Mus musculus: one gene and its partners. The protein of the gene in region 1 purifies or fractionates together with the protein of each later gene. This does not show direct contact. Links are inferred from orthologs where the notes say so. Each region holds a gene or a part of one and is shown in the gene's direction. Other genes may lie near its edges. The genes, in order: Stip1, Dnajb6, Hnrnpdl, Ccdc117, Irak1, Bag2 and Acly.

Evidence for each region.
Region 2: the proteins of Stip1 (region 1) and Dnajb6 purify together in Homo sapiens (affinity purification with mass spectrometry; 3 studies listed by BioGRID and IntAct, with this or other methods). This does not show direct contact. The link is inferred for Mus musculus from reciprocal best matches to the Homo sapiens genes STIP1 and DNAJB6.
Region 3: the proteins of Stip1 (region 1) and Hnrnpdl fractionate together in Homo sapiens (co-fractionation; 3 studies listed by BioGRID, with this or other methods). This does not show direct contact. The link is inferred for Mus musculus from reciprocal best matches to the Homo sapiens genes STIP1 and HNRNPDL.
Region 4: the proteins of Stip1 (region 1) and Ccdc117 purify together in Homo sapiens (affinity purification with mass spectrometry; 5 studies listed by BioGRID and IntAct, counting the BioPlex papers as one, with this or other methods). This does not show direct contact. The link is inferred for Mus musculus from reciprocal best matches to the Homo sapiens genes STIP1 and CCDC117.
Region 5: the proteins of Stip1 (region 1) and Irak1 purify together in Homo sapiens (affinity purification with mass spectrometry; 3 studies listed by BioGRID and IntAct, with this or other methods). This does not show direct contact. The link is inferred for Mus musculus from reciprocal best matches to the Homo sapiens genes STIP1 and IRAK1.
Region 6: the proteins of Stip1 (region 1) and Bag2 purify together in Homo sapiens (affinity purification with mass spectrometry; 3 studies listed by BioGRID and IntAct, with this or other methods). This does not show direct contact. The link is inferred for Mus musculus from reciprocal best matches to the Homo sapiens genes STIP1 and BAG2.
Region 7: the proteins of Stip1 (region 1) and Acly fractionate together in Homo sapiens (co-fractionation; 3 studies listed by BioGRID, with this or other methods). This does not show direct contact. The link is inferred for Mus musculus from reciprocal best matches to the Homo sapiens genes STIP1 and ACLY.

The regions. Positions count from the first base shown.
Region 1 is NC_000085.6:7,037,227-7,041,240, reverse strand, and holds the start of Stip1 (stress-induced-phosphoprotein 1), read left to right. Parts: upstream 1-1,214; 5' UTR 1,215-1,352; coding exon 1,353-1,361; intron 1,362-4,014. UniProt on the Homo sapiens protein: Acts as a co-chaperone for HSP90AA1. Mediates the association of the molecular chaperones HSPA8/HSC70 and HSP90.
Region 2 is NC_000071.6:29,763,398-29,766,897, forward strand, and holds part of Dnajb6 (dnaJ homolog subfamily B member 6), read left to right. Parts: intron 1-1,001; coding exon 1,002-1,133; intron 1,134-2,108; coding exon 2,109-2,250; intron 2,251-2,927; coding exon 2,928-3,033; 3' UTR 3,034-3,500. UniProt on the Homo sapiens protein: Has a stimulatory effect on the ATPase activity of HSP70 in a dose-dependent and time-dependent manner and hence acts as a co-chaperone of HSP70. Plays an indispensable role in the organization of KRT8/KRT18 filaments.
Region 3 is NC_000071.6:100,036,423-100,040,714, reverse strand, and holds the start of Hnrnpdl (heterogeneous nuclear ribonucleoprotein D-like), read left to right. Parts: upstream 1-1,492; 5' UTR 1,493-1,552; coding exon 1,553-1,995; intron 1,996-2,733; coding exon 2,734-2,902; intron 2,903-2,985; coding exon 2,986-3,147; intron 3,148-3,498; coding exon 3,499-3,630; intron 3,631-3,738; coding exon 3,739-3,853; intron 3,854-4,063; coding exon 4,064-4,234; intron 4,235-4,292. Other genes in the region: Enoph1 (enolase-phosphatase E1), read right to left, coding at 442-496. UniProt on the Homo sapiens protein: Acts as a transcriptional regulator. Promotes transcription repression. Promotes transcription activation in differentiated myotubes. Binds to double- and single-stranded DNA sequences. Binds to the transcription suppressor CATR sequence of the COX5B promoter.
Region 4 is NC_000077.6:5,528,387-5,532,217, reverse strand, and holds the end of Ccdc117 (coiled-coil domain-containing protein 117), read left to right. Parts: intron 1-684; coding exon 685-922; 3' UTR 923-3,331; downstream 3,332-3,831. UniProt on the Homo sapiens protein: Facilitates DNA repair, cell cycle progression, and cell proliferation through its interaction with CIAO2B.
Region 5 is NC_000086.7:74,017,422-74,020,921, reverse strand, and holds part of Irak1 (interleukin-1 receptor-associated kinase 1), read left to right. Parts: intron 1-386; coding exon 387-594; intron 595-956; coding exon 957-1,022; intron 1,023-2,555; coding exon 2,556-2,792; intron 2,793-2,904; coding exon 2,905-3,021; intron 3,022-3,410; coding exon 3,411-3,500.
Region 6 is NC_000067.6:33,754,951-33,758,981, reverse strand, and holds the start of Bag2 (BAG family molecular chaperone regulator 2), read left to right. Parts: upstream 1-1,231; 5' UTR 1,232-1,290; coding exon 1,291-1,403; intron 1,404-1,415; exon of another isoform or gene 1,416-1,577; intron 1,578-4,031. UniProt on the Homo sapiens protein: Co-chaperone for HSP70 and HSC70 chaperone proteins. Acts as a nucleotide-exchange factor (NEF) promoting the release of ADP from the HSP70 and HSC70 proteins thereby triggering client/substrate protein release.
Region 7 is NC_000077.6:100,490,001-100,493,500, reverse strand, and holds part of Acly (ATP-citrate synthase), read left to right. Parts: intron 1-885; coding exon 886-996; intron 997-3,500. UniProt on the Homo sapiens protein: Catalyzes the cleavage of citrate into oxaloacetate and acetyl-CoA, the latter serving as common substrate in multiple biochemical reactions in protein, carbohydrate and lipid metabolism.

The DNA.
Region 1 (4,014 bases):
TGTCAAACAGAAGGTTGGAGGCTCATGGGTAGAGGGCTTGTGTAGCACAGACAAGACCTTTGTTTCTATCTCCAGTCACCCAAAAAGTACTCTTGCCACATTTGGCTCACACCTGTAATTTCAGCACTCTGCCTCTTCCCTCTCCCTCTCTCTTGAGACAGGGTCTCACTATATAGTTCTGGTATGGATAGCTCTGGCTGTCCTGGACCTCACTATGTAGATCAGGCTAGCTTAAGAGATACACCTGCCTCTGCTTCCTGCGTGCTGTATGCCACCACCGCTCATTTCCTCCGATCTTAAGTGAGGCAGGAGAAAGAACTAGGTAGGCATAAGTGAACAGATAAGGGGTAACCGGATGGAGAGGGTATGCATTGGTGCTACTGGCACAGACATGGCACCGCACAGCCCACGTTCCTTATACAAATCCTGTCCAGACCCCTGATCATCAGTCTCTGTCGTTCCATAAGCTACACGCTAAGCCTGCAACCCAAGTAGCATTTCTGCTGGCAGGCCATGGTGACCAAAGCTTGCAGCTGAGTTCAGAGAGTAAGGGCCAAGCAGCCGGTCCGCCAGGACACTGCCGGAAAAGCGGAGGCCTGTCGTGGCCCGCAGCATTTTGGGAACATTCAACGCAGGCCCGTCATAGCCCGCAATATTTTGGGTACATTCCGGGCCTAATAGTCAGGATGCGAGGAAGCGCGGGCCAACAGTCTCAGACTCAGGGAAAACAGCTTGTAACGCTGTAGTTAAAGCCTAGGCGACACCGGGCCAGATGCTCGACTCCCCACGAACCACCAGCCAGCCGAGCACCCCCTTACAGGGCAGCGGCATAAACCAATCAGCGCCAGGAATGGCCAAATTTTTTTTTTTCCCCACCCATCCACCCAATTGAATGTTTCCTCTGAAAGGCGGTTCCGTCTAGGAGTCCTTCAGCCCAATGAGAGTTGTGGAAATTTCCAGAAAGAACAGGACCAATGGGTGCGGCCAGGCCAGCTACAATTGACGGACTAACCAACCAATCCGTGTCGTCAAGACCCGCTCCTCCCTCAGTTAGCCTAGCCCTGAAATAGGCGGGACTTGCCGCGGAGTGTCCAATCCGGAGGTGCAGAGGAGGCAGGGCTGAAGAGAAGACCCGTAAAAAACCAATGAAAGAGAAGTCACGATGATTGACTGAACTTTAAGCCTATAAAAGGGGCGAGCAGAGCCTCCTGGACGTGTTCAACCAGTGAGCAGGCGAGGAAGGGGCGGTAACCTGGGGGTCCCGGCAGCTTCTAGTAGGTTCCAGAAGGCGGCGCGTGCGGTTGGGAACGCGGAGCGGACGAATTCGATTCAACGGGGTTCCGGGCCAGGCTATGGAGCAGGTGAAGGGGGAGGGGCGGCCGGGGCCCCGGGGCAGCGCAGGCCTGTTGGCGGGGAGAAGCGAGTGGTTGGGGGGCCGGGTCGGGCGGCCGAGGCGCGGGCGTGAGAGCCGCGGTCGGGCGTGTGAGGGGAGAATGGCGAGCGCCCGTCGCCCCCGCGACCCGCCGAGTGGAGCGGGAACAGGCCTGGCCGCGGCCGGGCCCCGAAGCTTCTGGGGGCCGGGCCTCCTCAGCGCGGAGAGGCCCCTGTCGGCCGCTGCGAACTTGGAGGGATCCGGTGACCGATCACCCCAGCAGCCTTCGGGGTACACGGCATCTGTGTGCGCCCGGGAAAAGGACCCGCGCGACTGCAGAGAAGGCGGGCGCGGACAGTGTCACCAGGGCTCCCTGAGGCATACATATGTCGCCCCTCCCCCCACTTTTCGTAGTGACTGTGGGGTGACTGAGTATCCGACCCTTGGAAATTCCGTTCCCGATTACACAGGATTTAGTGGTTTTAGACAGTTGTGAGCCGATAGTGAGGAGCTAGAAGTCCCTGTCTCTACCGCTCAGCATCTGATCTGGGGCACAGAGGGAAACCTGCCGTCCTTACCTTGGTGATTTAGCTCAGGCTACAGTGGCCTGCATCTGAGGCCTGGAGAGGTTTTGTTACCTTGGAAGCTGTCATTGAACCGTTGTGATTCATCCAAACACACACATACAAAAAGAGCACAGCTTACTACTACTTTTACTGTGATGTATAAAGTAAAACCTTTTGTTCTGGAATAGTCACTGTGAGGGACCGTGGGGCCTCTCACCTTGTTAATAAGACTAAATGGAGAGGTTAATCAACTTTCTGTACCCTTGGAGTAATTAAACTGTAACTGCAGTACGGACAAGAGAGACGCTTTTTTGGTATGAGTAACACCTTGCTCTGTTACAACAAAAAGAGGTTGTTTTTCATTATCATTCATTCATTCATTGTGTGGCACTAGGGATCAAACACAGGGCCTGAATTTAGAGCTATGGTCTACCCCGTCCATCCTCCCCACCCTCCTCAGTGGGGAAAAATCCTGCCAGCCATTATACAAGTGTGCAAGTGTTCCTGTGGACTGCAAACTTACAGTAAGATGACAAATTTGAGCGTTGGGCTTAGAGATGGCTCAGTTGGTTCAGCGTTTGATGTCTAAGGATGAAGGCCTGGGTTCCGATTGCCTTTACCCACTAAATCGGTGAGGGGAGGGGAGACCCGAGCATCTCAGGCCTGTCTGTGAGCTCCAGATTCATTGAGATTCTGTCTCAGAGTAAGGTGGAGAGTGTTGGAGGAAGACCCTGACTTCCAATGTCTGCCCCATGCACTAGCATATACACAAATGCGTTTGAATATTGGAAATTGTACATTTGAGCCAGGTGGTGGTGGCATAAGTAAGCCTTTAATCCCAGCACTTGGGAGGCAGAGGCAGGTGGATTTCTGAGTTTGAGGAGAGCCTGGTCTACAGAGAGTTCCAGGACAGCTAGGGTTATACAGAGAAACCCTGTCTGGAAAATTGTACATTTGAAGAGTAGAATTCCAGGTAACTCCTACAGTGACACATAGTTTATATTTTAAGATTTAATTTTGCTAGGCATGATGGTGCACTCAATGAGGCAGAGGCAGGCTGATCTCTGAGTAAGTAAGTGGACCACCAGAGTTGTATAGTGAGACCCTGTCTTAAAAAATCCCAAAACATTATTTCTAATGCCCGGTGTGGTGGCACAGATCTTCAATCCCAACACTTGGAAGGCAGAGGCAGACAGATAGACAGCTTTGTCTATATAGTGGAGTTACAGGTCAGCTATAGCTACATAAAGAGATCCTAACTGCAAACAAAGACGAGGGGTTTTTTTTTGTTTGTTTGTTTGTTTTCAAGACAGGGTTTCTCTGTGTAGCCCTGGCTATCCTGGAAATAACTCTGTAGGCCACACTGGCCTTGAACTCAGAACTCTACCTGCCTCTGCCACCACTGCCCAGCTCAAAGATGAATATTTGTGTACTGTGTACTCTTTTTCTCCCTTGACCTTCCTGTAAAGGAATGTCATATTGGCAGTTTCCTGTCTGTTCCTTTATCTCTCCTGCATGTCATCCTCCTTTGCTGAGAATAGGGTCCGCTGCCTCTTCCTAAGTGTTGAGATTGCAGAGAAAAGCCAGCTTACATGTGCATTGGGACCTCTGTTCTGTGAAAGTTTCTAATTGGTGTACCTTGGGATTCTAAACGCATTTGCAAGAAGTACATTCTATGTCAGTCTTCTGAATCATGAGTAGATGATCATTCCATAATAGGTGCTGTAATAATTTCACTACAGCAATCTCCTTCTTCCACCTCATAAATCCTGAAATAATAGGTATATGCCACTGTGCTTGGTGCTGGGGTCCAACCTGGTGCTTGGGCTATCAAGTGAGCTACATGCCCATCCCAATAACATAAGTAACATCCTACTCATGTTCACTCTATTCTTGGCTTTAAAAGGGAGCGGTGAGTCTGTGGTAGTTTTAATCCGAGCACTTGGGTGGCAGAAGCAGGCAGATCCCTGAGTTCAAGGACAGCCAGGGCTATGCAGAAACCCGTCTTGGAAAATCTGCGGTGGTGGTGGTGGTGCTGTGAAGCTGTTTTTCCATAGGTACCTTATGTCCGGTTGT
Region 2 (3,500 bases), on another chromosome or scaffold:
GGAGGCCAGAAGAGGATGTTGGGTTCCCTGGAACTGGAGTTGAGATGGTTGTCAGCCTCTATGTGGGTGTCGCTCCATGATAGCAACACTTACTTTTAACTTCTGAGTCAACTCCATCCCTATCTTGAGAGTTTTGAGCCATCAAATTGAATTGATATGAGAAAGGAATTATTGGGTCATAATCATCAGGCTCACCAGCAGTTATATTCACCTGTTGCTGTTTTGGAAATTTTGTAGACCAGGCTTGTCTCAGATTCAGAGATCTGTCTGTCTGAGTTGGGATATAAAGGTGTGGGGTACCATGCTGGACTCTGCTCCTCCTCTCTGTACAAGTGTCTAAGGTTGGAGGCTGGAGAGATGGCTCGTTAGTACTACCCTTGCAGAAGATCCCCTTCCAGAACTCAAGTCGGGCATCTTACAAGTACTTTTCTTTAACTTCAGCTTCTGGGTGATCTGATGAGTCTGGCCTCTGTGTACCTGTGTGCACATGCCCCTAAGCTGCACCTAACTATGCATAAAAGAATGAAAAGTTGGAAAACAGCAACAAAGCTGTCCTAAGATGGAAACCATCTTTTTTTGTTTTTCAAGACCGGGTATCCCTGGCTATCCTGGAACTTGCTCTGTAGATCAGGCTGGCCTTGAACTCAGAGATCCGCCTGCATTTAGGAGTGCTGGGATTGTGGGCTTGTGCCACACAATGCTGGGCTGAAACTGTCTTTTCTAATGAAACTAATTGTGTACTGAGCTTTGTTGAACAGCCCTCTGAAGGCTTGATGAGGTATCTGTAGATACACCGTTCCCATTAGGCACCTGTCTGGTCTTTTGCACTCAGCTTTACTTGAATGGTACCAGTAAGTGAACGTGCTCCAGAGTGCTAAGAGCTGTTGGGTGTTTGTGCCTAACAGACCCACGTGTTTTAAGGCATTAACCCATTTTTCTTCCTCTATGGAAAAAAAACCTTAAATATTTTCATAATGCATTTTTTAAAAATCTGTTTCTAGAAGACCCATTTGATGACTTTTTTGGAAACCGAAGGGGTCCCCGAGGAAATAGAAGCCGAGGTGCCGGCTCATTTTTCTCTACCTTCAGTGGATTTCCTTCTTTTGGAAGTGGATTTCCTGCTTTTGATACAGGTATTAAAGCGTTTCTTTTGATCTATCTTTTAGCTAGTATAGTTTAAAGTTTGTATGGGACAGGGCAGGTAAGTTTCTCTTTGGTTGGAAATCTGTTTCCTGTTTTGAGGTGGGTAGTGTAGACAGATTCTTCTTCACAGCTCTGTGTGAAAGACTAATCCTACCACACTGGATGCCAGGTTTGAGCCCAGTTATAACGTTATAACGGGTTTGTAAAGGCATCTTGTCAAAAGTCATAGCCACTAATTGTGGGTATTTGTGGGTGTGTTGTTAGTTGCCCCTGCATTAAGGTGCTCATAAGGTGTGGCCAAAATGTGAAATAGACTCAGGGCTCTCAGAATCTGTATATGAGAAAGCAGGACTTCATTTCCATCTTTAATATAATTCTGTTGTTAAGTGTATGGGCACAGGCATGCCATTGTGTGTTTGGAGGCCAGAGAAAAGTTTCTTATAGGTGGTCTTCTTCAACATGGCTTCTAGGGGTGGAACTAAGGTCATCAGGGTTTAATGGCAAACGCCCCCCCCCCACCCCCCCAACACACACACATACGAGCACACACGCACTTCCTCTTGGGAAAAGGTTGCTAATAGACTAGAGCAGTGATTTCTGGGTACGGTCTTGGCTGTTGACTAGCATGTCTCACTCTGGAGATTAGGATGGTCTTGAGACCTCATCATCCCACATGCTTGCATTAATTTAAAAGCACGTGCCACATTAGGACCTTGGAAAGTTGTTCTCTGGGGCAGCTTTTGGGAGAAAAATTAAAAATAACAGGTATTTGTACATTGTTGTTGTGTGTTGTAGGTACTTGTCTGCTGTGTAGGTAGAACATCATTTAGGCTGGAACTAGTTAGTACCTCACCCACTTTCAGCTCACTCAGCTCCCTTTGAGGCTCACAAATTTGGAATAAGGTAATTTTTGTGTGAATATTAAACTTTGTAGCTTTTAACTGTACTTTTCTGTTTCTTTATAGGCTTCACTCCATTTGGGTCACTAGGTCATGGGGGTCTCACTTCATTTTCTTCAACGTCATTTGGCGGCAGTGGAATGGGCAACTTCAAATCAATATCAACTTCAACTAAGATAGTTAATGGCAAAAAAATCACGACAAAGAGGTATCTCTCTCTCTGTTTTTTTTTCTTTTCTTTTTTAAAAAAGATTTATTTATTATATGTAAGTACACTGTAGCTGTCTTCAGCAACACCAGAAGAGGGCATCAGATCTCATTATGGATGGTTGTGAGCCACCATGTGATTGCTGGCTTTTGAACTCAGGATCTCCGGAAGAGCAGTCAGCGCACTTAACCGCTGAGCCATCTCACCATCCCGTGTGCTTAATTTCTAAATCAGCCAAAGCCGTAAAGCTTTTTGCTTTGAATATTTGCTTAATTTTTCCTTTGATGCATATCACTGTGTGGTCATTTGTCATGAGAATCCCTGGCATTGTCAGTGTCGAAAAATGAAAGTGGCTGTTTGAGCAGGAAAACCTTAATGGCAGAGTTGGGCTGCGACCACTTAGCCATACTCCAGCCCCACTCTTACTCTTTGTGGTTTATAACATCTCCTGTATTTGATAGTATTTGAGTCCACATTTACTTTTGGCAGGATTGGAATTTTAGGAAGAACTCTTGAGCTTAGTTTTCATGGATCTGTTATGTAAATCACAAATATTATATATATATATTATATATTTGTACTTCTAAGGACTGAGCTCAGGACCATAAGTTTGTTAGTAAAACTCTTGCTAAACATCCCGATTGAACAGAGGTTTCTAAATGGGTCATTTCTTACAGGATTGTGGAGAACGGTCAAGAAAGAGTAGAAGTTGAAGAAGATGGGCAGTTAAAGTCCTTGACAATAAATGGTAAGGAGCACCTGCTACGCTTGGATAACAAGTAACTCAACGCACGCATTTAACAGAAATGTTAAACCATAACAAGCACCATTTGAGGAATAACAGGAACTTTTTTTTTGAAGATTTGAAACGAACTCGACTTTCTGTATAACTGTACCTAAACTAAAGTATTTATAAAAAAGCTCATTGGAGCCTCCATCTATCAGATTTTTGAGTTTGTTGTTGGGACCACAAAATAGGACCTTATTTTCTATTTCTTTTGTCCTTAAAATTGTTGTAATCTCTGTATGCACTTTGCTTTAAACCAATCGTAATCTGAGGTGAGCCCTGTGACTTTTGAGTAGTGCTAGGAAGAGACTGTCTGTAACACCAGCATGGATCTGCTTCCCATTGTGGTGAATTGTGAGTGAGTAGTGTCAGCCTGCTGTGGACTTAACATTGCCAGATGAATCTACAGAAATACTTCAATTTTATTTTCAGTATTTAGTGATGAAAGCTATTACTGCATCAA
Region 3 (4,292 bases), on another chromosome or scaffold:
TGGGAAGGCCTAAACCTCAAGGACCACTAAGTCAAGGCCACCACCTCTGCGGGCCGCAACCTTCAGCACATGGGGGACGCTCATCCACCGGGCGACACACCTACCTGCCAGGCCGTGGGAGCTCCAATCACCCCAACTCCTCCCAGCTGACCTGCCCCTCCCCAAGCCGTTGCTGAGACCATCTCCACTTCTTCCTATCCTTCTCCACCTAACCGAAAGCAAGGACAGGGGAGAAGATGGTGGCGCGAGGAAAAGCACCCCCGCAAACCGCCGCAGCTTCTCTTCCCCATTCCAGAGACATAAAGCCACACCGCCTCTCCTGAGCCTCCCAGGCAAAATCTCCAACACTTAAAATTTCCCTTTCAGATGCTTTTAGGCACAAGTAACTTCCCCGCTCCCTTCCGCCCCTCACCTTCACGAAAGCAATCGGGGTTGTGGTACCTTCGATATCTAACAGGATTACGGTGACTTCGGCGGGCACGGAAACCACGACCATTTCCCTGCCGGATGCTACCACGGGCTCGGCCTTGGTTAAGGAGGGCAACACCGCCTGCGCGTCTTGAGCTCCCGAGGGCCCAGCAACAACCGAGGCGCTGGCGACAGCGAACGACCAGGGGCTCAGAGACAGAGCTGGGACCCGCAGTTGCAGAGGAAGCCGCCTAGGGTACTACACCCGACGAGCAGGCGAGCCGCGCAGGCCCGGACCACGTGGGCAGCCGGAGGGGCGGGGCTCCGGGATTCAAAGGGGGGGGGTGGAGGAAACAAGGAGCGCGTGCCTATTGGCCGCCGGCGAGCCGCGAACCCGTCGGTCAAAATAGGCCTCGCGTGGGCGGGAACAAAGAAGCGAGCACCCAAGCCTGGAGCCTGGAGCCCGAGCGCGGGCACCAGCCCTCCGCAGCCTGCTGGAGCCTGCGCGGGAGGCCCGGGGCTCGTGCAGACGGGAGTCCCTTGAGTGGCGCGCCCGGGACGTGAGTGCCCCTTGTCTTCCCCGGCACCTGACCCCTTCCCCGCCCACCGCGTGCACCTTGGCACAGCTTCAGTCATCCGAGCAGGCCCCGCCCTCCGCCGCGGCCTCAGCCAGCCTCGGAGAACGAACGCACGGAACCCGGGCTGCAGAGAGAGATCCTGCAGCCACGGCCCCTGAGCCGACACCGCCCCGAGGCGACGGCGGAAAAGCCGTCCCCGCCAGGACGGAGGCGGTCATCGCGCACAGGCTTTCTGCTCGGCTGGTTGCAGCCGGCGCGAGGACAAAACACGCGTGCGCCGGGAGGGCGGGCGAGCGAGCGGGCGGACGGGCGCGCTGCAGCTTCAGCAAGCGGCGCGGGGTGCACGCCGCCCTTTTGCCGGAGTGGCCGCCGCTGCAGCAGCAGCAGCAGCTCTGCACTAGGGGACTGAGGGCGCAGCAAGGGACTGAGCCGAACTGGACGCGCGACGCCAACGGCTCTCAAGGCAAGAGGGACTGTGGCCCTGCCACGGCGCCGCTCGCGATTCCCGGTCCCGCACGGCTGACTCTCCCCGCGGCGCGACCTCGCTCCTCATCCGGAGCGCGGCGATGGAGGTCCCGCCCCGGCTCTCCCATGTGCCGCCGCCATTGTTCCCCTCCGCTCCCGCTACTTTAGCCTCCCGCGGCCTCTCCCATTGGCGGCCACGGGCTCCCCGGCAGCTCGCCCCGCTCCTCCCTTCGCTCGCTTCCAGCGCCTCCCGCCAGGGGGCGCGCCGGAGCCCGCGCCACGTCACCGCCCAGCAGCCCTCCCGATTGGCGGGCGGGGCGGCTATAAAGGGAGGGCGCAGGCGGCGGCCGGATCTCTTCCGCCGCCATTTTAAATCTAGCTCCATACAACGCTCCGCCGCCGCTGCCGCCGGGACCCGGACTGCGCGCCAGCACCCCCTCGCCGACGGCTCCGCCACCATGGAGGACATGAATGAGTACAGCAACATAGAGGAGTTCGCAGAGGGATCCAAGATCAACGCGAGCAAGAACCAGCAGGATGACGGGTACCGCACGCTCCGCTCCTCCCCTCCCCCAGAGCCCCGCGCGCGCCCTTCGTCCCTCCGGAGCCGCGCGCGCTGCCCCCAGTCTTTCCCCGAGTCGATTCTCCGCGTGCCCGCTGGACCCCAGTAGCCTTCCCCACTAGTGGAAAGTAAGATGGGGTGACTCGAGAGGCCCGCCGCGGGTGGGGGAAGGGAGGAGGGGTTGGGGAAGGAGAGAGGCGCCGTCGGTGTCCCGAGTGCGCAGGCGCCGCGTGGGGCCCGGGAGGGGGGAGGGGCCGGGTTCTGTGCGCCACTTGCTGCAGCTGCTGCTGCCGCTGCCGCCTCTTCATTGTGTGTGTTGGCCGCTCGCGAATTTTCCTGGGTTAGGTTTGGGAAACTTTTGGTTGGGGCACCAGTAGACGACTGGCACTAAAAGTTTCCTAGGTAGCAAAGTTGGCTTTAAGGCTGTGGGCAAGAGTCTACGTAAGTTGCGGGGGAATCGGTGTAAAAGTTGTGCTCTGCAATCCAAAGCAAGCAGGGCAGGACATCTACCAGATTCTAATGGCTTTTTTTTTTTTTCTAAGTTTTGAGTTCGCGTGGTACAAAGCAACGTGCCAGCTGGCTTGAACAAGTGGTTAAGATTTTTGTGGTCTAATGTTAGTGTTTGTAGTCAAAACAGATTGCGTCTGGAGAGTAAGTTGCCCTGTATTTAATCACTAAGTTACTGTTAAGCTTATTTTTCTTAAATAACTTTATTTCTAGTAAAATGTTTATTGGAGGCTTGAGCTGGGATACAAGCAAGAAAGATCTGACTGAATATTTGTCTCGATTTGGGGAAGTGGTAGACTGCACAATTAAAACAGACCCAGTCACGGGAAGATCAAGAGGATTTGGATTTGTGCTTTTCAAAGATGCTGCTAGTGTGGATAAGGTAGGGCTGTGTTTTGCATTGAGTCTACTGCGTTGCTTGCAAGTTGCTCTAGGCTTTTAAGTCCAAACTGCCTTGTCTTCCAGGTTTTGGAACTGAAAGAACACAAACTGGATGGCAAATTGATAGACCCCAAAAGGGCCAAAGCTTTAAAGGGGAAAGAACCCCCTAAAAAGGTCTTTGTGGGTGGATTGAGCCCAGATACTTCAGAAGAACAAATTAAAGAATATTTTGGAGCCTTTGGAGAGGTGGGCTGTGTTTGTGTATGTATGTGTGTCTGTGCTCGTGTTTGGTCAAGTCTGGGGGGGTTCATTAATATTTCACCGGATGGGACTGAATTCTCTTGCTTCGTCTTCACTGCTGCTTTCTATGTTGTAGTGGAAACCAGTATCTAATCTTACTTAGCCAAAGCCCCAAAGGTGTAAAGTGTTTCACCAATTGGTGGCCTCTGGGGTGTAAGGTACTATAAAAAGATAAAACACAACTTTTTAGAACATGGTGGTCAGTAGATGTGTCTGGTGTTTGTGAAGAGCCTGTGGCATTATATAATCTTTATTAACTGGTGGGTTTGTTTGTTTTGTCTGTGCACCTGATTTCAGATAGAAAATATTGAGCTTCCCATGGATACAAAAACAAATGAAAGAAGAGGATTCTGTTTTATCACATACACAGACGAAGAGCCAGTAAAGAAACTGTTAGAAAGCAGATACCATCAAATAGGTTCTGGGAAGGTAAATCCCTTAACAACTTAGAGGATTGTGTGTGTGAAGTCAGTGTGAAGAGAAACTTGTTCTATGTTCAGAACTTGGAACATCTGCAAATTTTCTGTTTATTTACAGTGCGAAATCAAAGTTGCGCAACCCAAAGAGGTGTACAGGCAGCAGCAGCAACAACAGAAAGGAGGCAGAGGGGCTGCAGCCGGCGGAAGAGGAGGTGCTAGGGGGCGTGGAAGAGGTGAGACCTCCTTGGGCGAGTGAGCGGTACACTGAAGCAGTGAGCTGCTAGGGACCTGACCTGTAGGGAAACACAGCTAGAGTGAAACTAAAGAGCTGACTTGGGGGGGGGGGGTTGAAGCCACAGTGTAGGGGACAGGAATGGATCAGCTTGTGGTAGGATTGGGACAGTCCCAAGTTGTTTCCTAACCTTCGTTGTGCATTGTTTCAGGTCAGGGCCAAAACTGGAACCAAGGATTTAATAACTATTATGATCAAGGATATGGAAATTATAATAGTGCCTATGGTGGTGATCAGAACTATAGTGGCTATGGCGGCTATGATTATACTGGGTATAACTATGGGAACTATGGATATGGACAGGGATATGCAGACTACAGCGGTAAGAACACTTAACTCAATTGTGAAGTACTTTCCCATTCTGAACTTGTGTGTATGGG
Region 4 (3,831 bases), on another chromosome or scaffold:
GATTTGAGGGCCTGGAAACAATGCTCACTTCTTTTAGGGTTTTAGTTAGGGTTTCTGTTGCTGTGAAGAGACACCAGCCCCTACTGTAACACATGTTCATATTCCCATGGACACTCAGACACACATGCACATAAATGTGCTTTTTATTTTGCTAAGTCCATTTGAACTCTAAATATCTCTAGCTCTTTTTTAAAATGAAGCATTGGTTAACTAACAAATGCTAATCAGTATTATTCAAAGTTTAGTATATCTTCTGCTGAAGTGAACACATTTGGTTTTCTTTGGCTTTTCAAGACTGTTTGTATAGCCCTGGCTGTCCTGGAGCTCGCTCTGTAGACCAGGCTGGCCTTGAACTCACAGAGATCCATCTGCCTCTGCCTCCCGAAGGCATGAAACACCATGACCCAGCCACACTTTTAATTAAAAGATTTAAATTTCTATAATGAGAACTGATAAAAGACATCAAGATAAAATAATTCTGAAACTGGTAGTAGTTAATGGATAGGGATACACCAACAACAGACCAGCTCTTTCAGGACCACCAGCTCTTAACTGACTGAGGCGTTGGGAGTGAACAGGACCCTGTTACAGGCAGCCTAGACTGACTGAGAGACAGCAGCTTGTTACAGGTAGCCTTCATTTGCATTCCTAGAGTTTGATAAAAATCTGTATTTTACATCCCAGGAGCCGTCCTTCTATGGAGCTTGTGCTCTGGAAACCTCTCCCTGAACTCCTTCCTGAGAAGCCAAAGCCATCATCTAGCCCTAAGAACTACAGGAGAGAGAGCCAAGCAAAGCACGCAGCTCCGGGCACTGCGTTCCCACAGAGGACTGAAGGGTTGCTGGAACCTCAGTGCGCAGACGCGCCGCTTTACCGTAGTCTGGAGGCAGCTACTAGCACAGAGGAGGAGATGGAGCTCTAGACACCCGTTCTGCTCTAACTTGACAAGTCGGAGAAGGCTCCTGCGTTCAGAAATGAGCCTGCCTGCAGAGTATAGGGGCCTGAAAGTTTTATGAAACGGGTGTAATATCTCCTCTGCCTGTGACTTGGGTGGGACTGTCATTGTGGGTAGCCATTTATTGAATTCAACTTTTTGCCAAGGAAGCTTATCTCAAGGGAAATGCAGTTTTTTAATAGGCTTATCCAGGAAATGTTACAGTCTCTTTAACGACAGCTATAGATGCTGGATGTGTTCCGATGACTTAGGTCATGTCACATTGTTGAAGCCATTCATTCTTGAGATGATTCTGTACAGGAGTGCTCCTAATCGCCACTGCACCCTAATTGCTGAGTCATGTGCTGAGCTACTTGTAGTGGTCACTGTACACGTGGGGCTCGGGAGGGAAGAGAGCAGGACTTGTCTCTTGTGAAGGAATGGAACAAGCAAAGAAACTTGTGTTGGTGTCAGGTTGGTGTAGCTGGATCACCCAAGTAGTAGCCCTTGATCTCCTTTCATGACGGATAGGCTCAGTTAGTCAGGAATGTTTACACCTCAGTTAACTTCAGTGATTGACTTAAAGACTGGGAGGTATATTGCCTGTGAGAGAAATGTCTTTTCATGAATCCTAAGGACATGCTGTGTCAGCTAAACCTACAATTGATTGCTTCTAGAGTTTAAAAAGGGAAAGTTGTGCTTGTATTTGCAAGTTGAATTTTTTTAATGTTGGTTCCAAAAACAGTGAATTAGCTGAAAAGAAATGGAGAAGTGTCTTGGAGATTTACTGAAATAGCTAATTGTCAGGTGCTTAAGCTTTTGTGCAGTAAGCCTAAAAGTTAGCAGAAGATGGCCTCCTGCCAGCAGGAAATCTTTACCCTTTAGTACCCGAACCAGTCTCAAGGTGTTCTTTGGAAATAACCAGGGTTAAAGTTTTTAATTTCTCAGGAAGAGCTCTTCAGCATGGCAGGACGTGTAATGAGGGCTTTCGCAAGTCCTTCAGCGCTGCAGAGCAGTAAGCTATCCATCCAGTGAGTGTGGCGGCTCTTTCTACAGCTGAACTCCTCCTCAGTTGAGTTTTCAGTTTCTGGCTTGCTTCTCCCTTTGTATAGGGGAGAACAGAGAAGAGGTTTATGCTGAGGGGGGGTGACTTTTTAGAAACGTAGCTTCTTGGCGTTTTGCAACCCATGCTGGCCTCCCTCCTGCAGATGGCATAGGAGTCCGTCTGTCTTTGGACTGTCTCCTCTGCTGTTGTTCCTGCTCTCTCCGTTTCTGTCTAGATGTCAGGAAAAGGTTTAATGTTTAATATTTAAACAAAATATTTATATCTACACAATAAAGTTAATCAACCTTCAAACCAGTCTTGAAGCCAGCTACTTGTTTCTTCATCTCAGACTCCTAGGGGAATGAAAGCTGTCTTCTGTGAATGTGCAAGGGTTTGGCTCGTGTCATTTGAAAACTCCTGGCTTATCTAATGGGACCAGCTTGTGAAGTTTATAGCCTTAAAGAAATCTCTGTGCTAAGTTTTAGAACAGTTTAGAACCATGCAGGGATGCCGAGAGTCTGGAGTTAGCCCAGTGTTAGGGTAGGAAGGTAGTGGCAGCTTTCCAAAGGGCCTAAAACACCAGGACTGCCTCTGTGAAAGGCCCGAGTGGCTTTGATGCAGTTGGTAACCACTTGAGAGCAGAGATGTCTTAACTTGTCAGGAGTCCTTACCTGACATGACCCTGTTTCAACAGGAAAGTAGATGTTTTGTGCTCCTTTTTGGATTTTATCTTCTTGCACATGTTTGTACAGAAATCACCTTCATCCTTGTGGTGCTTACACACACCCAGTTGTCTCCACAGCTCTGATACCTTTGCCTTCTGTTCTCCTCTCTAGCATAAGACTTTGGCTTCTGCCTTAAGGTTTTCCTAAGGAATTAACAGGTCTTTTCATCTTGTATAGTTTTTACAGTGTGAATCCAACATTGGCTCAGTATGCTAATGTGACAGTCAACAGTTATCTAAAGCAGGTGAGCTCTGATGAACAAATGTATTTTCAGTGAGTCTGAGTCGGGTGTATGTGGGTTTTTTGGTTCTTGGCTTGGGGCTTTTTGTTGTTGTTGTTCTTAATAATATGAGAATCCAGTTCTCATGACAAGAACCAGTTTAAAAACTGCTCGTTCTTAAAAAGGTAAAACTAAGATTTAGAAACAAGGCAGGCCTTAGAGCCGAGGGAGACTATTAGGCAGCAGGCCAAACCACTCTGGCCCTGGAGCCGCCTTTGTTAACAGCAACAAGAATGCTGCAGTGCTACAACGTGCTGGAAGATGTGTCAGATTTGCTTTAAAGATGAGAATCTGGTGTTTCTGTACTTTATTATTTTCAATAAAACTCAATGTTTTGAACTTTTAAAGTATCTGTAATCCTGTATAAATGTAAATTAAGCATTTTTTCCTTAGCTTTAAATTTTAATTAAGGGGGCATCCTTATCAGTGGAAAACTTAAATTTGTCCCGAAAGCCTGATACTGTGGGGTTAAAGGTGAGCTGTTTCTAGACTAGGCAGGCTGCTTTGCCTTTGCTAACGTACCAATAACATTAGCAGGTCACTGCCATGGGACATGAGATGCTGACCCTGTGACTTGAGCCTTCAAAGGTGAGATGTAGAGTTGGAAGCTCAAGTTGGAGGAGTTTGAAGAGATAAGGCAGTCTATGATGTCTATGCATCCTCGTGAGGCAAGGAATTTTATCATTGGGTTACAGTTGCAGGAAAAAAAATTATTTTTAACCAAATTTTGAAAGCCCTGGGTAAAAGTAAAAGTTATCTAACATGATGGGTTGGAAACTGGGATTAGAATAGATAGATACAGCTCGGTATCTCACCTGCTAGTTAGTCCCAAGGTTCTTGCTTTGAC
Region 5 (3,500 bases), on another chromosome or scaffold:
CTATAGAAAGTCATATGGCCAGGGAGACAGTGACCCTCTGCTCAATGAACAGCTCTGTTCTGAGTGTCCCTGTGATATTCTTCCTGCCCAGTCCTGTGAATATGGGAACAGGTGTTGCCTGGGACCTCAGAGCTGAGAGTACTTAGGGCTATGAGTACCCCTGCATGGTGCAAGTATACAAATAAAGCCACGGTGGTGAGCAGAAGCCAAACAATGTGAAGGGGCTCAGGGACTGCGGGCCCTCAGACAGCTGGGATGCAATGCAGCCACTTTCCATAAGCAGTACGCCTCTAGTCCAGTTTATCAGGACCATTTGGGTGTAGGGGACAGAAAAACAGAAAGGTAGTAGGACCTGAACTGGTGCCATTCTTCCGTTTGTTTCCAAGTTCTAACGTGCTTCTGGATGAGAGACTGATGCCCAAGCTGGGAGACTTTGGCCTGGCTCGTTTCAGCCGCTTTGCGGGGGCCAAAGCAAGCCAGAGCAGTACTGTGGCCCGGACTTCCACAGTTCGAGGTACCCTCGCCTACTTGCCTGAGGAGTACATCAAGACAGGCCGACTGGCTGTGGACACCGATACCTTCAGCTTTGGGGTGGTGAGCCACCAGCCCTTCTGTTGGCTTGGGGAGGGAAAAGCACCAGTAAGTAAAGTCAGGAAAGCCTAGAGAATTCTAGGCCTAAGGCAGAGGTGAGCCTAGTGGGGAGCTAGCATAGCTTTGGCCTTAGGGATCACCCTGCCTCATACACCTCCCTCTTCCCTTGCACTAAATTGTGGTCATAATTTGCATCCTTTTGCTTAAGCTTGCATCCCATAACAATGCTGCCCTTGCTGGGAGGTGGTCTGTACCTGCCTGTTCCGGGACTACTTTCCCACTAGTCCTGATCCATGCCCATGCTACAAGCCTCTTCTACACACAATTTCTCCCTGCTAAAGTGATGTTGTCTATCCCCCCTCTAGGTAATACTGGAGACCCTTGCTGGTCAGAGGGCTGTGAGGACACAAGGTGCAAAGACCAAGTATTTGGTGAGCCTCCTAAGGTGGAGCATGGAGGGAGGGAGGGGCAGCTGCAGCCAGTGGGTACAGCCCCAGAGGGTGGGATGGTACAGATCCTTTACATTGCCCCACAATAGCCTGCTACTGCTGCTGCTGACTCATCTTTAAAAGTGGGTGAGTCCCAAGCAGTTTCTTTTACCTTGCACGGAAGAACCTATCTTTAGTTTGTACCTAGACCTTGAGGATAGGGATGTAATCTCAGTGGTAGAACCTTATTGCATGCAAGGCCCTGGGTCCTATCCCCATCAAAGGGGAAAAAGAACTTTGACAGGTTCCCCCTCTGCCTTGGACTGGGGATAGAGAGGGGGCTATTCCAGATACCCCGGGGACCAAACCTTCAGTGGAACTTAGAGCAGGGCTGAGTAAAGGCAGTAGGAAGTAGGCAGGCTGTTAAAGTAGCAGCTCCAAGCCATCCTGACCCCTACATTCCTGTCTACCTTGCTGTACACTGAGATAGGGCTAAGGAATAAGAGACCTAAAGCTTAGCATCTGAGTACATGGTTTTGGTTCCAACATTCAAAAATCTGAGGCAGGAGGATTGCCAGGAGTTGGAGGCCAGCTGGGGCTATATAACAAGACCTTCTATCAAAAACAACAACAACAAAATTAGTTGATTATGGTGGCATGTACACTTAGGAGGTAGAAGCAGGGGGGTCAGAAATTTAAAGTTATCCTCAGTAATATAGTAAGTTCAAGACCAGAGTAAGTTACATGGTTCACTGTCTCAAACATACAAAGAAGCTGGGCAGTGCCAGCACATGTCTTTAATCCCAGCACTTGGGAGGCAGAGGCAGGCGGATTTCCGAGTTTTGGCCAGCCTGGTCTACAGAGTGAGTTCCAGGGCAGCCAGAGCTACACAGAGAAACCCTGTCTTTTTTGTTTTTTGTTTTTTGTTTTTTTTAAAAACAAAAAACAAAAAAAGACAAGAGACCTGGGTTTTAGTCCCATCAACACAGTGGTCATGGGTCAAATTCTTGCTCTTCATTGAGCTTCAGTTTCCCATATAGAAAACAGACTTTAACACAGGAACACTATTCCAGCAATTCCTAGGCCCAGAACATGCTTGGCTAATGCTGGGTCGTCACCTTTTACAGAGTTACATCTCCCATTGCTTCTCCAGGATGAAGCCTATTTTTGTCCACTGTTGGGCCCAGTGGGGGATTTAACCAACCCAACAAACTGAACCAGATTCTACCCATCCCTCCTTCCTTTACTGCGTCCATTAGCACATCCCAGCTCAAGTACTGGTTGTTCAGACCCCACGGACCTTGCTAACAGACTAGTAGGTTTGTTGGCATCTGTTTCCCCCACTGCAATGGGATGTCAGGACTGTAAAACACGGCCCAGAGTGTTTGATTTGTGGCTGTTATCAGTAGAGCCCCAGACAGCACTAGGCACACAGTGGTGTTTAATGAACCTAGGGAAAGAAGACCAGAGGACTGAGTGGCAGTGGCCTGGAAGTTTTGGTGGAACCATGCTGAACTGACAGTATTTGTTTTACAGAAAGACCTGATTGAAGATGAGGCTGAAGAGGCTGGAGTGACCCTGAAAAGCACCCAGCCTACTCTGTGGGTGGGTGTAGCCACGGATGCTTGGGCTGCTCCAATTGCTGCCCAGATCTATAAGAAGCACCTGGACTCCAGACCTGGGCCCTGCCCACCCCAGTTGGGCCTGGCCCTGGCTCAACTAGCTTGCTGCTGCATGCACCGTCGGGCCAAGAAGAGGCCCCCCATGACCCAGGTAGCCCTGGGGAGGCCAGTTAACCATGGGGACATAGTGGCCAGCAAGAAAACTTTCGTACTTGCCCTGCTTGATAGCAATAGCTACAAAGTACCTACCTGATCTCTTACAGAGGCAAAACTCCCAACATTCCTTGCTTGCCCTTTGGCTCTATTTGGGGAGGTGCTCTGTGGAACTAAGTGGTAAAGGGCTGCTGCTTTGCTGGATGAGCCTCAGATCCCAGGAACAGGTAGAAGGAAAGGGCTCTGATCATGCCCCTAAGTGGGGGTGCTGTGCCACTCACTACCTTTGTCTTTTTGTCTTACCTTCCACCTCTTCTGGTGATGGTTAAGAATAGAGTTCCTGGCTTTGGTGGCCATGAATCTCAATAGTTCTTGGGATGAGACAAAGGAACAAAGGGCAATGTTTTCTCAGCTGCAGAGTGCACCAGCTTTGTGTTATCTGTCATTCTGTTGGCTGTATGGGGCCTGTGGTATTAACCTGAACATAGGCAAGTCTAGGCCAACCTGAAGCAGCAGAGTAGCTGTGTGGTTTGACCACAGGGTGTCAGATCTAGGCTGCCTTGCCCAGCCAGGAACCCATGCTCTGCCCATCCTGAGAGCCTCTCTCTCCACACAGGTATACAAGAGACTAGAAGGGCTTCAGGCAGGGCCTCCCTGGGAGCTAGAGGTTGCCGGCCATGGCTCCCCTTCCCCACAGGAGAACTCC
Region 6 (4,031 bases), on another chromosome or scaffold:
CGTGTGGAGACATTTAAACAAACATATGAAGATCCCTGCCATTTTAGTTACTTTCCTACTGCTGTGATAAAACACCTCCACCAAGACAACTTGTAAAAGAAAGCATTTAATTGGACTTAGATACAGAGGGTCTGAGTCTATGATGGCTGCAGAGACATGTCCTGAGCACTCAGATCTCAAACCCAAGCAGAGGCAGAGAGACACTGGGAATAGCTTGGTCTTCTGAAACCTGCCCACGGGGAGTGATACACTTCCTTCAGCAAGGCCACACCCAGGCCTCCCCAGTGTTCAAGTGCTAGAGAGCACAGATGGCATCTCATTCAAACCACCACATCTGCCTGGCCTCGTTGCCAACCTAACAGAGCTATGTCTGCGGCCACTTTTATTTTTCCTTTGACACTTGCTGAAGCTACCCAGCCTAGCCTTGAATCCACCCTGGCCCACGTTACACAACTTGTCAGCCTCCAGAGGAGCATTAGACCTGAGACCTGCCCAAGTTCAGACTTTCAAGATGTCCACAAAATGTTCAGATTTCACGGTTGTATCGTGAGATGACAGTGTTTAATGAAGCCAAGATAATCCACCGTTTATTAGTATTAAGATGTGTTCGGGGTGTGGTGGGGACAGGATTAGAAACTGTACTTAAGGGGCTTGTCTCTGTTCAGTAATCTAATGGCTTTGAGTTCTGGGTAAAGGATGTAAATGTACTTTGTTTCCCATTTTCTGTACCCTGTACACTGAGAGGACAAAACACAACTTTAAGATGCGGCTTCGTATTTCAGACCTACTGACCTCTGCAGCTTCTGACATCTAAGCCTACTGAATATCATTCGCAGAGGGTTTAAACAAGTTATGTGTGATAGTAATAATCCTTTCATTGGAAAGGGGAGACAACACGGATCCACTTGGCTTCTCCTTATTTGGAGCCTGTGGTCTAGGCTTTCCCTGTCCTCTCCCGAGCCTGCCTGGTCACCGGACAGGTCGAACAAGTAGAGACTGCCCTAGGGTGCACTGGATTGTCTCCTCTTCTCACGGGCTGCACCCACTTCGTCCTTGCTGTGAACCGTGGGTGCTGGGAGGACCGGCCGAGGCCCTGGGCGCCGGGGCAGGGTCCCCCACCCTGGCGTGCCCGCGGCTGCGACCGCGCCTGCCCTTGTTTGGCCGCACGGCCTCGGGGGTGGAGAGCCGGGGAGGTGGGGGCGGTGCCGTCCGCGTCAGCGGCGCCCGTGGTGACGGCGACGTGCGGCTCGCGCCACTGCTGCCCGCGGACGCCGAGGACCCCCGGAGCTCATGGCCCAGGCGAAGATCAGCGCCAAGGCCCACGAGGGCCGCTTCTGCCGCTCGTCTTCCATGGCCGACCGCTCCAGCCGCCTGCTGGAGAGTCTGGACCAGCTGGAGCTCAGGTGAGGGCCGCGGGGCGCGCACAGGGGCGAGCGCGGGCGGGGGCGCGCTCCGGTTGGGCTCCCCTCCCCCGGCCCGGCAGACTGGCGAGCGAGTGCGGCTTGCAGAACTTCCAGAATCTTCTGCGCGGTCCCCCTCTGCCTTTAACTTTTCTGCTTCCAGGAGGGAGGCAGCAGGTTGGTGTGCCCCCCCCCCCCTCACCCCACACTGGAGTAAGTTTCTTTGCCCCAGATCACTTCATAGTAATACAAGTGTAAGGGAGGGGGGGGTGGTAGTATCCAGGACGGCCCCTCCTGGGGATCATCGAGAATCGGACTCATGAGAGACCGCGCGAGGTACACCGAAGTTGGATACCATCCTTCATTCTCTCAACCACGTGCAATGCCCTCTGCAGTCTGTCCGTGTTTGTTGTACATTTAGAAGACACGGCTGACACCTTGGAAGTGCCAATCGCAGGCCCGAAAACACCAAAGGCAGGAGTCACACTCTCCCTAAGATTCTGACACGGGGACAGCCTTGTCGTAAAATTTCTAACTCATGAATACTACTAACGAATGCTGTGAACACTTGGTTGGCTTTAACCACGTGAGCCTTATGTATCTGGTGGAAATGTTAATGTCTTCAAAGTTGTGCAAGTTTTGATCATGTGCAGGTGTTCCATGAAAATCTTATCAAGATGCCCTGACACACACGTTGTTCCCTAGTTTTCTCCGGGTTCTGCGTAAGCAGAACACTATGACCCAAAATTATAAGAGGGAGATGAATCTCCCTCCACGCAGCCACCAAACACAGGGAAGTGTGTCTGCACAGGAAAAAAAAAATGCAAGCAGTGTTCGTTACACGGGAGGCGCTCATTACTGTTACTATTAGGAGAAAAGAGCCAGAAGGTGAGAAAACTTTCACTGACTGTGGAGTAGCCACAAAAGAAACCTGAACCCTATATCCCCCAACTCCGGGAGACAAAGGGACCTGCGCTGTGAAAGGGGGCGAGAATGTTTCCTTGTGCGAGGTAGGCTCTAACCTTTGACAGTATATTCCCAACTGCTCCGATTTTTTTTCTTGAAAGGGTTCAGGAAGTTGTGACTCTTCAAGCTGAGTCATTGTTCTGAACCTTTACTTAATCAAGCCTGTGTGCCGAGTCCTTGCTCTTCTCCTGGGGGCCTCTTGAAAGTCTGGAGTTTGCATAGACATTCTAGTGTCTGATTACTATCAAAGGAATCCTGACTACCAAACATAAGCGATTAAATTACGTTACTTATTAACAGTTGCGCTGAAGGGGTTTTATTTCTGTGTTTAATGGTTCAAGGCCTTTACCAGTAACTGCAGAGTTCTGTAAGTCTTGTTTCTCCCTTAAAAATGTAATGAGCACTTAGAAGTAAGTGTGTCAGAAGGGGCAAAGAAATAGAAAGAGATGCTGCCTGGTAAGGCTTAGGGGCCCTTTTTAGAAGCCATCTGGACAGTGCCACAGAGCATGACAGTATTCAAAATTAGACTTTTTAAAAATGGGGACGATGCTCCTGTGACTTCCCCCTAGCTTTCTTAGTGTACACGTCTGAGGACAACAGTGGACGGGGTACTACCGGAAATCACTGGATTGTCGCCAGTGCGCATCTTCCATTCAGGTGAATGGGTTCTGTGAACAGCAAAAGCCTGCTCCCTTGTAAGACTGAAACCACACCCAAGGCTTTCTGTCCTGCAGGATGCACTGATCTTCCGGGCATTGAAAATGCTTTTAAATGTTTAGCCCAGTTTTACAAGCTGGTAAAGGGTGCCATTGGTTTTTAATGGCTTATAATATTACAATTAAAAACATTTTTACATTAAAATATCCTTACATTAAAAAAAATTTTTTTTTTACTACATCTCCTTTCCTGTGGTGCTTTCTCTAAAAAGATAATCCTGTCCTTTCCTGATTTTCATGACCAGTTCTATGGGGACTCTGCACATGCTGAGGCTAAATACTGTACTTTTCAGTGGTTGTAAATAATCCACGTTAGCATTAGTCTGTAGGCTAGGCCGCGTGTCTCTGTGGGAGTTACCGTTATCTGTATTGTACAGATGAGAACTTGAAGCTCAGATATATACAGTGTGTCTCAGTCCAGAGCAGTGGACTTCGCCTAGGAACACGGGGAGACCGGCTGCTCAGACCAACACCATTTGTCCTGGTCTTGAATATCACTTTTCAAACTGTCCAGCTGATATATGAATGAATATGATTTTACTAAAGGAGGGGAAAATCGATTTAGCATTTGATTCAGTAAACCTTGAAGACCTAGAACGTGCCAGTTATCGAGTAGCTGCTCCGGGCCTGGGGTTTGGACATTGGCCAAGGAGGGATAAATGATTGACAGGGCTGGAAGGCTGGCTCTTTACACATCTCCCAAAACCGATCCCGCCCGCAGTGAGCAGCTCCTTTCCAGTTCACTCAGCCAGGAAAGGGTGACTGCCAGCGGGAGCCAGGGAAACGGGCCACCCGCCTGCTTTGGTTTCTTACTGTTTAAGGTTCCTGTTCGGATGCGCCAGTGTTCCAGGACCCACGAAGCAAGTTGACACCATACTTAATTTGGAGTAACAGTCTGTAATTTAGAAGGAACACTTTTCGTGTACACTGTAATTTCAACCACTGTAAT
Region 7 (3,500 bases), on another chromosome or scaffold:
GGTCTCCTTTTGATTATAAAGGTAGTCTGGGATTTGCATTTTTAAGAATTCAAGCACCCTGGCACTGTACACCTTAAAGCAATCGTCCTGGTGGTACAGCCGGTAAGATTCTGGGGCTGAGAGTTTGCTCTGTTGGCCGTGAGCAGCAGTGAAGGAGGAACTGTCTCCACTCGCTGGGAAAGACGGCTGGAGCAGTGAGGCCAGCTTCTTTTATAATTTTCATTTTTTTTTTTAATCTTATGTATATGTGCGGTTTTGCCTTTGTGTGTCTGCACACCACGTACACCATGTGTGCCTATGCCTCCTGCCTGCAGCAGTCAGTGAGGTGCCAGTCTCCTGGAAATGGACTCATAGATGTGTGTGATCCACCATTTGGGTGCTAGGAACTGAAGCCCAGTCCTCTAGAAGAGTAGCAAGGGCTGTTAACTGCTGGGGCATCTACCCAACCCCTGGGAGGGCCTCCTTTTTATTTATTTATTTATTTATTTATTTATTTATTTAAAGCTCCAGAAGAGTTCTATAAGCCCATTCCTTACTTGTTCTTCTGGGAGAGGCTCTAATCCTTCGTCATCACAGATTAGAAAGGGACACCCAGGCACGAACGGCCTTAAGACACTGACCGTCCCTTCGTAATTCCTTACATACCTAGGATGAATCTTTCGGGGAGAAGTTAAACTCACTACCTGTTACGTAGCCCAGGTTTGTGTCCTGATTTTGTAGCCGACTTTTATTTCATGGGGTTGTTGTGTTTTTGTGGGGCTCTTTTTTCCTTTCTGCGCATGTGTTACGTGCGCGGTTTTTCCTGTTGTAGGGCCGGTCCTAGGAAAGCTTGAAGCAGCTTCCACTAACTTGTGGGGCTTTTCTCTCCTCCCATTCCCTTTGCAGATAGGGGGCACAGAGGAATATAAGATCTGCCGGGGCATCAAGGAGGGCCGCCTCACCAAGCCAGTGGTCTGCTGGTGTATCGGGACCTGTGCCACCATGTTCTCCTCCGAGGTATGAGTGGGACCCCGGCTGTCGTTGAGTAGGGGATGAGGTTGCAGAAATGGCTGTCTGAGCTGAACCGTACTGACATCATCCCCATCAGCTGCTAATTCCCTCAGTAAACTCGTGCTGCTCACTTTGTGACTACAAAGCCAAGCCCAAGTTCTGCCTGCCAGGAATTTTATCTCACCTAGACTCTTCTGCTGCACATTCACCAGCAGGTGAAGGTCGAGATGAGACATTGAGTTCTGGCACAAGGGAGCATAAGCAGGGAGAGGATACGGCTTGGGCTTAGCCTGGAAACCTAATCTTAGGTCAGATTAGGGAAGCCCCGTGGGAGATAGCGGGGAGAGCATTGTTCTTGCTGTACTAGGGTACAGGCATGTGAGGTGAACAAATGGCTAAAGGTGCAGCCATCAGTTTGACCACCTGAGTGCGGTTCCCATCTGTAATGGGATCTGATGCTCTCCTCTGGTGTGTCTGAAGACAGCTACAGTGTACTCATATGCATAAAATAAATAAGTCTTTTAAAAACAAAACAACAAAAACCTATCCTCTGTTGGGAAGATGGCCAATCACATGACAGAAATCAAATGCAGGATAAAAATTATCTGTCAAGCTGAGTGTGGTAGCACGCCTTCAGGGCCAGCACTCAGGAGGCAGAGACAGACAGGTTTCTTTGAGTTCGAGGCCAGCCTGTTCTACACAGTGGGTTCCAGGACAGGCAGAGCTTCACAGTGAGACTCCTCTCAAGGAAACAAAACAGAGCAATTCTCTAACCAGTTCATTCATCATCAGCATGGAACAGCCTGTGGGTTTCTTGATGGTATGTGTATAGAGCAGGTTTGGCTTCTAAGTTTCTTATAGCAGTGTTGCTGCTGTGGTAGAGGGGTTAACTGAACCCTCAAATGCTGGCAAATGCTTTACATCCCTAGCCCACAGTGATGCTCTCTACCTATAAACTTAAAGTGGCTGTTGGAGTCGCACATCTCTGAAGGAATAGCTCCATTCCTGTGTATCCTACGAATAGGAACTCAAAGATGCTTCGAGGGACGTGGGTAGAACAGGCCCTGTAACATTGTAATGCCAAAAGATGGAAGTAGCCTTGTACACATCGAGCGGAGCGCATGTGTGTCTGGACTGGGAGGATATGGTCATCATATGCACCTGTGCACTGGACAGCCAGGCCAATCTGTGCGCGCGATAGAGATAGATAGTCACTACAAAAGGAACTCGAGATGCAGTTATTCTTAGGGCAGACTTTTATGCACACTTCAAGTATGATTCTTTTTATTGATTGAGTGATTGATTTATTATATGTACAGTGTTCTGTCTGCATTTATGCTTGCAAGCCAGGAGAGGGCACCAGACCTCATTATAGATGGTTGTGAGCCACCATGTGGTTGCTGGAAATTGAACTTAGTACCTCTGGAGGAACAGACAGTGCTGTTAACCTCTGAGCCAGTTCTCCAGCCCCAAGTTCAGTTTATAAACGTGAAGTGTGTGGGATTTTTTTTTTCTCCCAAGTGAGTAAAGGGGGATGGAGGATCCAGAATTCTGCCGACCTTTCAGAGGTTGCTGGCACAGGCTTTAAGGTCAGCTCTGTGCGCTGGCACCTGGCAAATCGGTACCTCCATTTCCAGAGCTGCAGAATTGGACTTTTGGATGATTTAAACAAGATAGCTGTAGCCAGGCGTGGTGGCCGAAAGTGTAATCTCAGCATTTTGGAGGCAGAGATAAGAGGATCCGGAGTTCAAGGCTAATATGAGTTACAGAGTAAAAGAGCCAAACAAAGGCTGGGGAGAAAGCTCAGCTGGTCACAACAATGAGGAACTGAGAGTCAGCCCCCAGCACACAAATAAAATCCAGATACAGTGGTACAGGCCTGAAATTCCAAAGGGGTGAGGTGAAGACTGGTTCACTGGTCAGCTAGTCTAGGTTAATCGGTGATTTCTAGGTTCGGTGAGAGATGCTGTCTCAAAAAATAAGGTAGAGAGTGATTAAGGCAAATATCCATTATCAACTCTGACCTCCATAGACATGAATGCAAGCACGCACGCACACCACAAAGCCAAAACAGAAGTGATGGCAAAGGTCTGGAACCTATGGGTAAAGTTGCTTCTCATTTGCCTTTCTCTTGGCACATTCTTCCTCCCAGGCCTTTCCTCACAAAATAATTCCACTCTTCCACTCTTCTATTTGGGGTCCTCTTTTGAATCCTGCACGAGGTTAAATGTTGGCCTTTTTAAGACTTGCCTTGGTCATGGTGTCTGCTCACAGCAGTAAAACCCTAACTAAGACACCCATCACAAGGCCAACAGCTTTATTTAATTGGGGCTGGCTTACAGGTTCAGAGGTTCAGTCCATTATCATCAAGGAGGGAGCATGGCAGCATCCAGGCAGGCACAGTGCAGGAGGAGCTGGGAGTTCTACATCTTCATCTGAAGGGTGCTAGCAGAATACTGGCCTCTTAGGCAGCTAGGATGAGGGTCTTAAAGCCCACACCCACTGTGACC